Linked DNA regions of Notamacropus eugenii. The protein of the gene in region 1 interacts with the protein of each later gene in a biochemical or structural test. Links are inferred from orthologs where the notes say so. Each region holds a gene or a part of one and is shown on either strand. Other genes may lie near its edges.

Region 1 (8,710 bases):
AACTTTAGCTGCCCCCAAGTCAGAGCAGAGAGCCTAAAGAGAAGGGAGAGAGAGGTGACAAGATAGCCCCTCCCATGTGAATTTAAAAGTGGAAGTATACTACTCACATGGGATTGAAAATGTTCCATAGAGATTCCCACCCCTACTCCCCAAAAGGCCCTGCTGGGGCATCCAAAGCCCACCTTTACATGGCAAAAATCATGCCTATTTCGAGAATCTGAGGTAAACTTGGGCAGCAGCCCAGAGGGAGTCAGTATTGCCAGCTACTGCCATCCACGCAGACAGTCAGACGCACGCATCTGTCCCTTCCCTGCCCTCTCTGGTGTTCAGCTTGGCGCCGCTCACAGGAGTCAGGCGGCGGGGGCTGATGCTCAGAGACCTCTCCGCCTGTTGGTTTCATATTTATTCCCGCAGCCTTCTACTGCCCGTCCTGACGTCGGGGCTACAAGTCTCTTTGGGAGAGATCTGCCAGGTCCGGGTGGGGAAGAAAGGGGGAGGGGTTTATTTTCACGTCCTGGGTGTGGTCGGTAGGAAATGTGTGGCAAGCAGTTCGATCAGAATGCCTCTTCCATACACCACAGGGCAAGAAAAATGCCGACGAATCTGGATAGCCTGAGGTTTGTGCAGACCGAGAGAGGGCCGGCTCAAGGTCCTGGCTAAATGGGCTGGGCGCCATCCATGGTGGTGTGTGTGTGTATGTGATATGTAAATATATGTATGTATTGTACATATACATGTCTGTATTTCAATGGTATACCTTAAAGGCTTAAGCGTTCATTTAGCCCCATGTACCTACCTAGGCAGGCCCTGGGCAGATGTACATGGAAAAAGCTTGATTCGGGCCACGTATTTCGCATTCCAGAACCTCCCCTTCTTCCATCTAGACTACGAGGTCCACCTGCCCAGCGCCCTATATTAAGCTATCAACTGCACGGCTCACACTGCCACCTCTGCCTCTTGCAGTCCTCCCACCTGTTCGGGATTCTGGTGACAAAGTGCGGAGGCTGGGCCAGAAACTGCTCCAGGCCACGCGCCCGTGCTTCTCAGTCCAAGCTCCGCAAGCCAAGCGCTCAGGTGTGCGGAACCACACCCGCGGTAAATGTATTTGCCAGCTTACGCACCTTTAGAGGGCCCGAGTCTCACGTGTCTCGTTCCCAGGGCTGAGAGTGCCAAGATTTCACCACCTACATTCCAGGCGCAATGGCATAAGGGGAAGGCGGAGAGGTGGCTCTGTGTTCTAGAATTAGCTGACGACATCCCCTTGGCGCATTGTGCCCTTATCCGGATATGGTTAGGCACCCTGCCTGATTTCTCCGGGAAATCTCACTTTCTCCCCTGAAATTCGTGGTCAAGAAGTTGAAACCCCTTCTTTTCTCCCTCGCACCTACCAACTCACGTAACTCATTTCTCACCTCTTGCCAATTTCGGCATTTGTTTATTAAGAAGCAAATTATTATTACAGTCGGAACCATGTGTACCTCCGAGTGATTCTCCAGCAAGTATGGGACCTGAAGATGCCCCTATTTGGAATCTTCGGGGATGGAAACACTCAGGAATCTAAAGGGGATGTTGATTGTTGCCAGGACGCAACGACGCATTTTGAGTGGAAACCCAGGAAACGTATTTGTTAAGAAGGGTGGAGTGGGCGAAGGGAGGAAGACCCAGGAGATGGATGAGGAAAAATCAATACAATCGAGCTTTTTAAAGGAAATAGAATAGTAGCTGGAAGAAGGGAAATGGGACAACTTGACAAGCATACTAGGGGGGAGGAAGGGGGTAAGCACTTAAAACGGGGCATTAGGAAAGCTAACCAACACTGCACAAACTTTAAGGGAGAGGAAGGGAAAGGGAAAGCCAAGATAAGTCCTCAGGACAGGAAAACCCTCCGGTCTTTGCGCTTCTCCCCTCCCCTCCCCAGACCTAGGGAAGGAAAGAGAATAGATTTCCTTCCTATCTCCCCACCTACACCCCTCTATGCCCTTACACATTTCCTCGTCCTCTACCAAGGAGGTGGAGAGGGCTTATACATGGGCCAGTGGAAAAAGCTCATCCCAAAGCTAGAATGATTAGACTTCTGCAGTTACATTTTGCATATCTCCATCCCTTTCACCCCTTTCCGCATTCCCAGCGCCAGGGAAAGTGGGGAAAAGTTGGGGTGCCCTTACAATGTTCAAGGAGTAGAATAGAGAGGGTTGGGATGCGGGATGGGAGAGGGCTAAAAGGTACACTAGATGGGGACGTTCCTCTAGCTCACCCCTCTCGCTGGCCTGGATGTAGCGCACGATTTCTTCAGCGTCTAGGGTTTTGGTCTCGTCGAAGCTGTAGGCGGATGTGTGCAAACCCTCCTCCTGGAAGACCTCATGGACCCCCTCCAGGGTGAAGTAACAGTTCCGCTCCAGCTTGTCATCACTGTAGATCAGGGCAGCTCGGCTCCACTGCTGATGCCGGAACAAGGCGAGCATCATCTCTCCCATCTTGGCGTAGGCGGGTGCCACACGGGTAAGGTGCGAGAACTCGCTCTCCTTGTGCTTGAAGCCAGCCGCGAGAGCTCCGGCAGACAGCATGGGCAGGTCCCAGTGCGACGCCAGCCGGGCCACAGGTGCTGCAGCATATTCGCAGACCGGGCCCAGGATCAAGTCCGGTTTAGACCCCCGGGCCACTGCCACTCGATCAACTAAACTGAAGAGTGCCTGGTTGCCGCAGTGCGAATCCTGATAGTCCACCTGGAAGCTGTAGCCCTGTGGAAGCAGCTGTCTCCTAGTCCCATTTTCCTCCACGCTACGCAGCGCGTACTCGATGGCCGGCTTGACCCTGGCCAAGGAGAACATGTAAGCGTTGTCCTTGGGTAGAAGCACCAGAACCTCGATCTTCTGCGTCTCTTCCACCACAGGGAGCCCGCCGCCTCGGTTTCCGCTGCTGCTGCCGCCGCTTGCCAGGAGCGCCCAGCTTAGCACAGCGCAAGAAGAGAAACTGAGTAACAAAAAGGATGGCATTGCGCTGAAGAGCAATCTCTGTCACTCACCTTAGCCCGTCTTCTTCCCACCACCTTCCTCCTTCTCCCCCTCCCTTTCCTCTACCTCCTTAGTCCCTGCGCCCCCTTGGGTGCCCTAAGAAAACAGAATTCCCCTTCTACCGTCAAGTGACGGGAAAAAGGGCCCTTCTCTAAAATGTTACCAGTTTTTTTTAAGTTTACACCTATGACCCTATAGTATGTTATATAGATATTTCTCTTTCCTCCTATATACTATTTTGCCTAGAGGTGACTTCTTTTTTTTGGACGTTGTTGAGATTGATTTTGAAAGAATGGCTTGCAAAAAAAAAAAAAAATTAAACTTGTCCAAGTGATTGTAATTGACGGAGCATCTGCCTCCCGTTTGATCTCATTGATTCTCCCTTGCTCCTTGATACATATCCTCTGTTTAAATAGTGTGGTAGCGGACGAGCCTGTTACCACACATGGAGCTGCGAGAACGGGTTTGTATTTCGAGCGGGTAGGGTGGGGGGTTGACGGGGGGTTGGAGGGGAGCCTCTCATTAGCATTCTTACATCAGGACTCCTCCCCACACCCCTTCCCTCCCTCCTTCCCAACCTCAATCCACCCACCACCCCGACCTTTTTCTTAAAGTTGCAGCACACGTAACACACTCATCTCCCCTCAGTTCATATCCACAGTGCACACGCGCCTTTTCTGTTCTCCAACTCGCTCCAAAACACAGCAGCTCAATTCAGGCGCCACCGCTTCAGCTCAAAAGCTACTGACTAAAGATCCTTATACAATTAATTTGCAAATAAATACACAAGCGCCAAGCAAAAGTAACAACTAATCAAGATCTCGTCTGACTTTTACTGGCAAGGAAACTTCGGGGGTCTCCCCGTTAGAGCGCGCGCGTTCTCCTCTTTCCCCTCTCTCCTTCCCTCTCTTTCAGGCAATGCAACTGAAGGGGGAGGAGGGGGTCCCTAAGTCCGGAGGAGGAGTTATGTCGCCCACTGTCTATCTGTCTCTACTATCCAGAGCTCTATTGAGGCTGAGAGGTCTTTGGCATTTGAGTTGGGGAGCCCAAAGAAAAAAGTTTGCTTTCACAGCTCTTAAGTGACCTAGGCGAATCCAGTATCCCGGCGTCCTCTACATACCTGGGACACAAGCTAGCCAAGCCCAATTTCTGGAGGTCGGCCCGCATCCTATGCTCTCCCGGCAGAAACTGCCTTAAGCCTTTTCCCCACTTACCCGTTTTTTCCACCTATGCAGATTCTGCCTTTCCTCTGGTTCCGGAGTGCGCGGGCGCTTCTCTTTGCATATATTCTTCCCAGGAGTGAAGACCAAGTGAAACCAAGGAGCGCTTTCCCAAAGAAGAGCGCGTGGGGTGGGGGGGAGGGGAAGCGAAACTTTTTGCTTGCAGAGGGTGACTTCCAGCCCGTGATTCCGCTTCTCCATAGGCAGTTGGAATATGGCAAATGTTTGCAAACCGCCCAAAAAACGTCCGCAGGACTTTATGGGCACATAAAGGGGATCTTTCATTCCCCCACCTTTGCAAAAGAGGATGCAGCTCTGAAGAAAGAAAGATAACAGGTCCGAAGTCCTGATCTCTTGCAAGTCAAAAGGCAGGAATGGAAAGGATTTCATACAAGGCAGTGGCCTGACTATCAAGTCAGGAAATCCATGCTTTCCATGCGTATTCAAATAGAATTCAGCATTCTTATCCTTGGTATATGTACACGTAAAACATTATTTGTTTGGGTCACGTACTTCACTACCTCTACGAGATTAAAAAAATTTAATTCCACAAATTAGAAAAATACTAACCATCAGAATTTCGTTTGAATACTTTCACTTAACTTTAAAGAAACTTAAAGCTTTCCCCCTATTAATCCCAGGAAAACGCCCTCTTTCGGCAGAAAAATTAATATGGCTGGTAACCTTTGCACCACTGCTCCAGGCTCTGCATTTTTGTCTCCCAGACTAGAATTCTTGTTTCTATTTGTATTTATAATTAAGTGCTTCCTGATAACTTTGTTTTCCTCTGGCTGAACTAATTAATACAACTCTTCGTTATGCTAATTGAAAGAATAGAAAGTATGCTTAACTGAAGTTAATTGCAATCTAATCTCAGAATCTAACTTTAAGTAATAAACTGTCTCCTACTCCTTTGAAATCTCTTATTTAAAAAAAACTACTTCAGGGAAGGAAGGGAAGGATAAAATTAGAAACTCAAAACTTTTTTTTTTAAAAATCAATGTCAAAAAGTTATTTTAACATGTAATTAGTGGAAAATAAAGTATGTTAAAATTTAAAACTACTTAAAAGTCACTCTAAAATATTTTAATTTCACCTAATATTTAATAGCAAGAGAGGCTGCCTGGAATAGTGACTGAAGAGCTGGCTCTAAAGTCTAGAACATATGGGTTTAAGCCTTGCCCCTGACTCTTTGTAGCCCAGTAAATCAATGTATAGCTTTGAACCCCAGAATCAGAATCTGATTGTAGAGGTGTCAATTAGTAAAGGTAGAAAGAGTTTCTGTAATGGGAGTTCACTATACAACGGAATGAACACTCCTCCTCTTTATGCCCCTTATCCCAAGCAAAGGACCAGGACAAGATCCACAACCGAATAATTGCAAATGCACTTTATTAGACAATTTTAGACATAGGGTTTTTGAAGGAAATCAACAACTAAGTTCCAGACTGAATGAATTTCTCATTTTAAGCTGAAGATCCTAAAGAATATGAAATATCCTATTCTTCATATTATGGCTTCCTAGGATGAGCACAGTCAAAGGCAAAGTAATTCTCCAGTTTGTTGTTTAAGTCTTAAAGAGAGAGGCCCAGGGTTTAAATGGCATGAGTGAATTGCCTCTCACTTTACAGATAGATGGTCTTCTCAACTTAGCCTGGAGGTCATTGTCAGGGCAGTGCATTTAAGTTCAGCTTAATACCAGAGCTTTCAGTTTGGAGGTTTTGAATGGGAATGCCTCATTTTGAGTGTATAACCCATCTGTAAACTTTTAAAGGAATCTAAAAGATAAAAGAAATTAAGGAGAAATTTTGCATACTGTACTTCAATAAACTAAATAATTAAACGAGTAGTTTATATTATTCAATTTCCTCCTTTTCAAAACATCCCTCAGAAAATGTTGAAGAGAAATTGGGATTTATCAACAGTATTAGACAAACGGAAATTGGCATAAAATCAGGTAAAGGACTAATTATAAATATCAGTGGTAAAGTATGTACATTTTAGTGTTGTTGAATTATTTACTTCATATCAAATTACTGTTTGAAAACCAGTAAGAAGTTTACATAAGTATCAGTGTATAAATATGACTTGTCATTATGCACACACACACACACACACACACACACACATTAAGTCATGTCTTAAACTTGGAATGGGTCTTAGAAATCATCTAATCCCATCCCCTGATATAACATCAGGGAACAGCCCCAAATCTCTGTGTAATGAGAAAATTCTAATTTCCATATTCATTTTCATATTCTGAGAATTATTTGATTATTTACTAGTCCAAACCTGTGATTTGATCGGTGAGCTATTTTGAGTGCAGAAACTCCCTCCACCTATTCTGATCAATAATATGTCTCTCTTTTATAGTGACAGAGTTGGATTAGGAGACTACTTCCAGCAGACATTGAGTGGTTAAGTGACTTGTCTGTATTCTCACACCTGCATGTTTTAAACAGGCACCACCACCTAGCTGGATTTAGGGAAGGCCTTGGAGTTGAGAAGATCTGGATTCAAGTCCTGTCTTGGACACACACTGACCATTTGACCATGGACAAAATTTAGAATTATTTGTTGATAGGTGGTATATGAGCCAAATTACAATATGTAAACCAAATTCCAACATGTAAAAGAATAGACAATCTTTTGTATATAGTGGAGTTCTCTTGTAATGATGCTTTCAAGGAGAGGTGCTTCCCGCTTTATTTAAAAAAAGCAATAATAACCATAATACGTAGAATGTTTAGATGGCACAGTGGATAGAGTTTGGAGTTCGAGTGCTGCCTCAAATGATTACTAGCTTGTGACTTTGGGCAAATTGCTTAACCTCCCTCCATCTGTTTCCTCCTCTATAAGATGAGAATAATAATAGCATTTATCTATCAAGGTTGTTATGAGGCTCAAGTAAGATTTTATATGAAATCACTCTGCAAATGTTAAAGAGCCATATAAATGTAGGCTATTGTGGTGTGATAGGATGCTGTACTATGTTTATTACATGAATGACAAATATTATTTACAAAATAGAAGTATTACATCCCTGAAGGATCCAATTTTAAAATTATGCTTCTCTGAAATTGTTTGAAACATTGAAAGGAGAAAGCACATTTTTTCTCTCCTGTCAGAAAAGCATATGAAACTACAGAATAGATGTTGAGAACATGCTCCAAAGCAGAATAAAATTAATTGGGGGTGGGGGGACTATTTGAATACTTTATGCAGCCTCCATATTTAATTTGTGACACAAATGAATAGTAATGTCATAACATTTAGAAATCATTTAATTAATTGTGTATAACATTTTAAATCACGAAACCAGAAGACAAGGGTAACAACTTTTCTAAAGAGTATTTGTTTATCATTTGTTTAAGGACCTATGAAAACAAAACACTATCTACTATGGCAATACTACATCCTTCCTGTAATAATTAAAACATTTGGAGCTAGTATTCTATAGAGATTATCAAGGATAGCATTTTTAAGGCTATTAGAAACAGATTGGTTGTCTCCACCAATTGTTACTCTCTCTACAGTAACCCATCATTGGAATCACAGTTGTAATTGTTAAATCTTGCAGCCAGCTTCAATTCTTAAGGAAGGCCTCCACCCTTCATTTAACCAGCTCCAAGTAATACTGAAGAACATCCTTATGAAGCCTGCTGCTCATTCACAGAATGCCTCCTGGGGAAAGGATTGCTGAAAACACAGTTCCCCCTAGAGGCTGAAAAGATGAAAGAACATAACACATAATTCAAGAACATGTCTGTCATTTAGTTTAAGATTTTCATTTTAATGTGTAGTTTATATTAAAGAAAGAACTTGTAGGTGGAAAAAATACAGCAAATGCCAGAACATTAAATAAGAATTTGAGCTTTAGGCTTTAGCTCCCCCTCAGCAGAGGCCCTACTTCTTCTATTGTATACTTCTATTTCAAGAGTCACAAGAAATGGAAAATGTTTTCTACTTAAATTTATGATGAAAAATCACCAGATATTGCTGTAATGGAGGGCCTTGTGGGAATCAATGAACACATGGCTCTAGGAGATCATCTATTTCTTATTCTTAGGGCTTAATTTTTACTATTCTCCGAGGTGTACATTAGTTACAAATTGTATTTTTTCCCCTTGCTCATTTTCTTTCCAAAAAGGAATTATATTGGAGATATCTAATGGAAAATGTTTAGACAGTAAGTGATTTAACCCATCTGGATGCCAGGCATGATCTGTCTTAGTATTTACAAGCTAAGGGCAAAGTTTTCATATAATTGATAGGAAATCTCCCCCCCCACACACATCTCCCATGTATTTAGATTATACAATACTTCTTCATTGTTACAACCACAACAAATTACATTTTTAAATTATCTTTTGATTATCAATTATCAACTGCCATTAAGAAAATGTAACTTGGCATCATGGAACAGGTTAAGATTATATAGAAACTACATAGTTTCTCTAATGGGATATAGATGGCTTT
Region 2 (7,184 bases), on another chromosome or scaffold:
AATGGCTACTGCATTTCCTTATCCTTTTTTTTCTCCAAATTTCCGTACTTACTGAGAACAAGGCTGTTAACCCATGTCTCCAGCCAATGTCTGCTGCCTGAGAAATGCCTGCTATTTTACAAGGACACTTGTTAGAGCCTAATAATTCAGGCCTCTAGCTCTCTCATGAAGATGGAATGGTGATTATATTTTAAAGTTTAGATGTTAAAATCCAGGAGGTTAGTAAGCCTTTTTAAAACCTCATTTACACTTAGTAAATGTTTTTATTCTTCTATTCTTCCTTCAATTCTAGTTCTATCTAGTAACCAAAAATAGTGCCAAACCAGACCAACCCCAGCAGTCAGCTCTCAGAATTGCCTCATTAGAAACATGTGCCCCAAAACTTGTATGTCAAAAAATGATGAGGAATTGCATGGGAAAAGAAAAAACCATACAATGTTAGATATGAACTACATTAGCCTCGAGAAAACTTCACTCGAATCGGTCTAAATAAATAGCCATTATGGCTTTTCTTTGCCTCCGCAGATATGATGAGAGGTGACTCTCTGGCTAAGTGATTTTTAAAAAAAAGAAAGAAAGAAAGAAAATTTTGCAGGCAGTATAATAGTCGGAATAGACCTGAATTCCCCCACTGTTTCCCTGTAGGAAACAAAGAATCACACCAGCCCGCGGCTGTTTCTGTCCATGGTGCTGAAGTTTATTCATTCTTGAACTGCTTAGAATTTAAACTCAGATCTAATGAATGGACAAAAACCGCCATAACGCCATCACACCATCACACCATTTTGTCTACATTCAAAATTACATTTGTGAAACAGCAAAAGAAAGCTGTAGCTTGAACCAGGAGCACAAAGCCCAGTTTGCTAATAACAAATGGACAAAATAGAGCCAAAGTCCCAAAGGATTTGATCTGACAGGGTCCAGCACGTGTTTTCCTCTTTGTACATTATCTTCAGAACTACAAAGAGAAGACAAACATATTTGGTTAGCAATATCCCAGCTAGATGACCTAGAGAAGGTAACATGAGATTGGAATGGATAGCAGGTATAAAATGGACAAAAAACACCCTTTATCCTTGATCTCTTAAACCACTCTTCCTTAGCATATTAAAGTGGATCCTCTGGGCTTCCAGAACTAGCAGACAGTTCAGACCATAAAGGGTAATTAAAGAAATCCTTATGTATTCTATTTTATTCTAGACTTTGGTGACTCTGGAAAAGAGTGAAGCTGATGACTTTGTGCAACTCTGCCTCACTTAAATCCACTTCACAAGCAAGTCAAGAGGTCAACCATCATCCACTATTTTACCTTATTATTTGCTTCATTTACATCATAATGTCATTGACCCTCTTCAAAAATGAAGGACCACCACCACCACCAACTCATTCTATTTGACCCTTTAATTTTATAACTCTAGAAAGGAAAATAAATGAAAGCCCCTCACATTATAAAACAATCTGGTCCTATGGAAGTTTTAATTCTCTAATACATCTGGTGATACCCCCTTGGAGAATCAAGCATTACTGTTACAGTTTTGTAGTTACAGATAGTCCCAAAGGCAAGAATGATATATTTCAAAGGGAGATATGTATCTAGTCCCTGCACCTGCTGAGGATTTCACTTGGTAGTGAACCCCTCTACCTCTGCTTGAATTTTAGCATAGCATATGTCTCTTTTCTCCCTAACCCATTTCCAGATCTCCTTACCCTAAAACTGTTGCAGCCAAGTCCACTTTGGGCTCCTATTCTATCAATCCTGCCCCCAAAGCAGCTGGAGGACCTCCTCAGACTACGAGGGGAAGTCAAGAGTGCCCGAAGCTTATTCTTCAGGAGGGCAGATCTCTCAGATTGCTCCCAAGTGCCCCGGTTGAAGTTTCCCTCCCGCTGGGCTGGGCTGACTTCCCCACTCCAGGAAGAGAGGGAGCTAAGTGCTTCCCCAGCCTCCTCATTCTGCTCATTAAGTCCTTGTGAGGCCATGACCTCATCTTCTAAAGGTATCTTGTCCTCCAGGCGGTCCAACAAATTCTAAAAAATCAAAAAGGGAACAAAGAGAGGAGTTTATGAGTTCATTACATTGGGGAGTAGTGACCAAAAAATCAAAACCGTACCAAAATACCACCCCTGGTTTCTATTGTCCCTGACAAGTCTCTCTCTGGTCCTACCTTGAAATCCACCAGGTCATTATTGGACACAGGACTGGCTTTGGTTCGACCTTGAAGCTGCAGGGTCAAAAGGAGGAGAATGCTGATGGAGATGGTAGTGAAGGAGCCCATGCTGTGATTGGTCGTCAATATCAGTCAGTCAAATGCTTGCTGTCTCTTCTGTCTCCTCTTCGCTCTTGGTCTTCTGACCCTGTTGTCTTATGCCTCCCAGTCTGCCTCTTTGTCTTTTTATATCCCCCTCCAGCACCCTGAGACCGCCCAAGGGATGTACCCCTCCCCATTCTGTCACTTGCAGTGATAAAGGACTGGAGTGAGCCAACAGAAGATGTCCTTTTAAAGTTATCAGTCCAGTGCAGACTGTCACAACCTCATTGTAGAGGTGGCTTCTGCACTTCAACGGTTGTCACAGCCTCAGGAACCCTAGGCTGCAAGAGTCACATTCTTGTTGATTTGGCTCAAGAGGTTTCACACTTTAAAGGTGTGAGAGGAACCAAAAAAATCCTTGATTATCTCACAAAGATGCCTCAGGATTCTTTGCTTCCTTGCCGTGGAAACAATTTAGGGAAACAGGATGGCTGGCCAGTACCCATCTCTCCCCAAGCTTGTTACATGAATGCTAGGGAGGTCCAAATAAGGACAAGAAAGAAGGAAATTACAGGCAACTTTCAACCTAGAGAAAGAGTTCAAGCTGACACAGACAAGCCTGGATGCTTGGGACAATTTTATACTCTTTCTTACTTAATTCAGATTCTTTCTCCTGCATGTGAGTTCCCAACTGTGGCTATGGTTCCAAGCAGCTGGGTAGAGCAGAGGTGAGTTGTTGTTTTTTCTCATAAAGACTGTGAAGTCAGCACCAAGGATAGAATGTGAGAAACACCCCATGGGAGAAACATCCTAATCATTCTGCTCCCACATATCAACACCAGAGAATATTTTCCTGAAGTCAATATCCCCCACTCACCACCCACAATACATACCCTTACTCTTCCATCACTTTTCCCTCTTGTAAGGTGTTGATAGAAATGATTATGAACCTAGAAAAAGCCACCATCATCATTCCATTGCCATGTGGTATCCTAGAAGCTATTAAATCAAAAGTCTGAAACTTGTATTGAGTTCTAGCCTTGCCAGAAAAAAAAAAAAAAGTCAATGGGGTGGGCCAATGTGGAGAGCCCTTTGTGGCACATACTAGTCTCCTAGATCTTTCTCTACCTCACATCAGTTGGTGCAGGCAAGTGACAGACATTTGGACCCCCATTTCTCAGTCAAAAACTAACAAGGTTCAATCAATATGAAATTTTTACAAACTGTTTAGCACTGTACTAGACATTAGCACTTCCTAGGCTTATAGATTTAGAGTGGAAAAAAGCATTAAAAGTTAGTGAGTCCACTATGTTCATTTTATAGATTAGAAAACTGAGGCAGACAGGTGAAGTGACTTGCTCAGGGTCACACAGCTAGTAAGTGTCTGAAGTAGGATCTGAACCCAGGTGTTTCTGACTCCAAGTCCACCGTACCATGATACATCTTTAATTCAGTAGTCACTTATTAATTACCTACAGTGAGCAAAGCAAGTGTATTTAAGGAAGAATACTAATTGGGAGGGATAACTTACAAGAAATGTGTTTAGGACACTTGATTGAGATTTGAGAATCCAGAACCTTTTACCCAGCAGCCCAAATCACAGAATCTCAGAGTTGGAAGAGACATCAGAGACCATCTAGTCTAACCCACACAGTGCCCCTCCTTTCAGGAAGCTTTCCTTGACTGATATGAGCCATGGTCTAAAATTAGCCATCATCAGTCCTTCTGTCACTCTTGCAATGGCTGCCTACCTTTGTGGGGTCTTTCCTACCTTCTTCTATTAGACTGTAAACCTCCTGAGGGGAGGTTTTGTGTAGTCGTTATGTACTCATTCATCCTAGGGGCAGCTAAGTGGTGCAGTGGATAGAGCACCAGTGCAGGAGTCAGAAAGACTTGAGTTCAAATCTCACCTCAGACACTTGACACTCACTGTGTGACCTTGGGCAAATCACTTAACCCCAATTTTCTCCTCCTGGGTCATCTCCAGTCATCCTGATTCAGGTGGCTCTGGAGGAAAAGTGAGGCTGGTGACCTGCACAGCCCTCCCTCTCTCAAAAAAGAAAAAAGACAAAGTGAAGTGCAAGTCATGTCATTATTTCTCTGATGGCATGGTCTTCTTTGACAACAAAGGACAAACACACATGTACAAACACACCTAGCACATTGTTATATGCTTCATGGATGGTCTAAAAACATGTTAACTGATAGACCTTGTACTTAATCCTAGTTTTTGGTTAGATTTGGAGAAATTCTCCATGGTGCTAATTTGTTTATAAAATGAAGAACTGATCCTGTTCCATCCCTGCTTCTCATGGAACACCATGACCAGGTCAGTTAGGTATTGTGAGCTTGTTTGTATTGTGGAGTCACAAAATCTGACATTTACAAAGGATTTTAGAGGCCAGCTAATCTCACTCATATCTGAATAAAAGAAACCTTCACTTGCATGATCTCTGCAAAGCCATCCTCTAGATTCCAGTTGAAGACTTGAAGCCGTTCATTCCATTTTCAAACAACTCTAATTGTCATGAAGTTTTTCCTGGCATCAAACCTAAAGTTGCCTCACTTCAGCTTTCAGCCATATTTCCTGGTTCTGCTCTTGGGAGCAAGACTAATCCCTCAAATGCCAGAAGATAATTGTCATGTCTTCCTGAGTTTTATTCCCTCATCCAGGCTAAATATCCCAATTTTCTTCATGAAATCTAATATTTTTCTAATAAAGATTGAATTGCATTGCTATAATCCTCAGTAAAATTACTTGACCAGTGGGTTTCAGGGCTTTGGAAGATGATGATGAAGAGGAGGAAGATAACTGGCATTTGTGTGATGCTTTAAGGTTTGCAAAGTGTTCTACATGTTATTTAATTTGATCCACACAAAAACCTGAGAAGTATGTGCTATTATTATTCCCATTTTATAGACGATGTATCTGAAACAGAGAAAGTGAAGTGACTTGCCCAGTGACCCACTTGAATTCAGGTCTTCCTGACTCCAAGTCCAACACTCAATCCACCTAGATCCCCATTGATGAAGAATACAATATTGAGCCATTTTCAGTTGGAATTTGGTAGGCCAAAGACAACATTCTCCTAATGATGCTGCATGATTCAAGTCATAAGTGCATGTCAGGTTATTTTTAGTAAGGCTAGTTTGACAAGAAGCTGTGTTTCCGAGAAGTAATTCTTTCTAAGCATGTCAGCCTGCCCTGTCCTTGCCCTTCTGAGACAGCCCTCTGATGTGGGTGTTATCTTGGCAAATGGCATACCAGAAATGACATAGGGCAGTCTCTTCTTTCCACCCTCCCTTCCCTGACCCCTCCCCCTCTCCAGCTGCTTTTGCAGGCATCTTGGGGTAAAAGCAGAAGTCACTGTCCAAGGTTCCAGATTATTCAGAATCTATTTTCTTTTTCCTGAAGACTTCTTTCCTCTCTGAGAGCTAGTATATGGAAAGACAATAAAACTTGATGGGATTTTTGGATTAAGATCTGGAATAGACCTTAGGTATTATCTCATCTAATTCCAAAATTTTTCAGATGGGGAAACAAATAGCTTGTCTTGCATCGTTACCATGAATATTGATTTAAAGCCCACCTGTCAACTGTTTATTAGCAGAAGAGGCAGGGAAATCACAGATAATCAAGATCCATATACAATCCCCTCTCCACACACTCCAGTTACACTGGGCTCACTGGGCTTCCTATGTCTCAAACACACCTCTGTGGTTACTCCTTTTCCTGGCTGTGTCTGGAAGATGCCCACTTCATCTCAGTCCTACTCATCCTTCCAGAAGAACTTCAAACACCATCCCCTCCCTGAACCCTTCCTTCTTTCCCCAAACTCAAGCCATAAAGATACTTGGATCTCTCCAAGTACTTTGTGCCTCTTAAGGACTTACCAAATTCTCCCATTCACCATAGTTATTTGCACATTTGCTATATCTCTCCCCAAAATAACTACCATTTATTTAATTGTGCTTACAACTTACATAGTCCTTTATATATTTTATCACATTTGATCCTCACAATAATATTTGGCAGTCAGTGCTGGGTGACCTCACTTAAACTTTGACTGCCTTAATTGTATAATGATAGCATTTACCTCCTAGAGTTATTGTGAGGATCAAATGAAATATTTGCAAATTACTTAGCACAGTGTCTGGCTCTTAGGAGGTATATGATAAATGCTAGATTCTGGCCTGTCTTCCTTCTTGACTCTAAGTTCAGAATGAAGGATTTAGAATTTCATTTTCCCATTAGCTTTAACCTCCTCCCCCTACCCATCAATTTTTCTTCTGGGGCTTCCAACCAGGAGAATTGTGTGACTTGACTTTCCATTCCTTTCCTCGCCTTTTCTCAACGTTGTATGGTATATTAATGACCAATGAGATTTTCAAGAAGCCATGTTGTAAGAAGGAGAGGGAGAGATTGCAAAAAGGTTTGGACATCAGCCTTTTCTTTCCCTTCTGGCATCTGAATAGAAAAATATTAGCCGTATTTTTATGCCCTGGAACAAAGGAGGTCATTTGCTGCAGAGATGAGTTGGAGGGCAGATCTTACTGATTCAGTGCTTTCTTGCCTTCTTTGGAGTTGCTCTTAGCTCCTCCTTAGGAGCAACTGTTATCATAGTAAATGTCATCGATATCACACACATATGGAAATCAACTGAGAAAAGTCCATGTCCCTACAGCACTTTGTAGTTTACAAAATGCTTCTTGATCTTCAATTGTGTGAAGAGCCGACATGTGGAGCAGAAAGTAGATATATCTTGGTCCTGAGGACAGAACCAGGCATGGAGCTGCAGAGAAAGGGGGCTGGGTTTGTTAGAAGAGTTTGTTGTCATCATAATAAGAACTATCAAAAAAGGGGGAGTTTGCCTGGGGGAGGGGTAAACTCTATCTCAATAGAAGTCTTTGAATAAAAGTTGGATAACCACTTACTTG

Evidence for each region. The genes of interacting proteins can lie anywhere in the genome.
Region 2: the proteins of NPR3 (region 1) and NPPA form a complex in vitro, tested with the Homo sapiens proteins (4 studies listed by BioGRID, with this or other methods). The link is inferred for Notamacropus eugenii from reciprocal best matches to the Homo sapiens genes NPR3 and NPPA.

The regions. Positions count from the first base shown.
Region 1 is NC_092875.1:427,905,387-427,914,096, reverse strand, and holds the start of NPR3 (atrial natriuretic peptide receptor 3), read right to left. Parts: upstream 3,467-8,710; 5' UTR 2,994-3,466; coding exon 2,255-2,993; intron 1,503-2,254; exon of another isoform or gene 1,432-1,502; coding exon of another isoform or gene 1,413-1,431; intron 1,334-1,412; exon of another isoform or gene 1,258-1,333; coding exon of another isoform or gene 1,122-1,257; intron 1,069-1,121; exon of another isoform or gene 858-1,068; coding exon of another isoform or gene 797-857; intron 1-796. UniProt on the Homo sapiens protein: Receptor for the natriuretic peptide hormones, binding with similar affinities atrial natriuretic peptide NPPA/ANP, brain natriuretic peptide NPPB/BNP, and C-type natriuretic peptide NPPC/CNP.
Region 2 is NC_092876.1:51,275,041-51,282,224, forward strand, and holds NPPA (natriuretic peptides A), read right to left. Parts: upstream 2,371-7,184; 5' UTR 2,274-2,370; coding exon 2,163-2,273; intron 2,026-2,162; coding exon 1,708-2,025; intron 1,490-1,707; exon of another isoform or gene 1,261-1,489; coding exon of another isoform or gene 1,201-1,260; intron 959-1,200; coding exon 953-958; 3' UTR 676-952; downstream 1-675.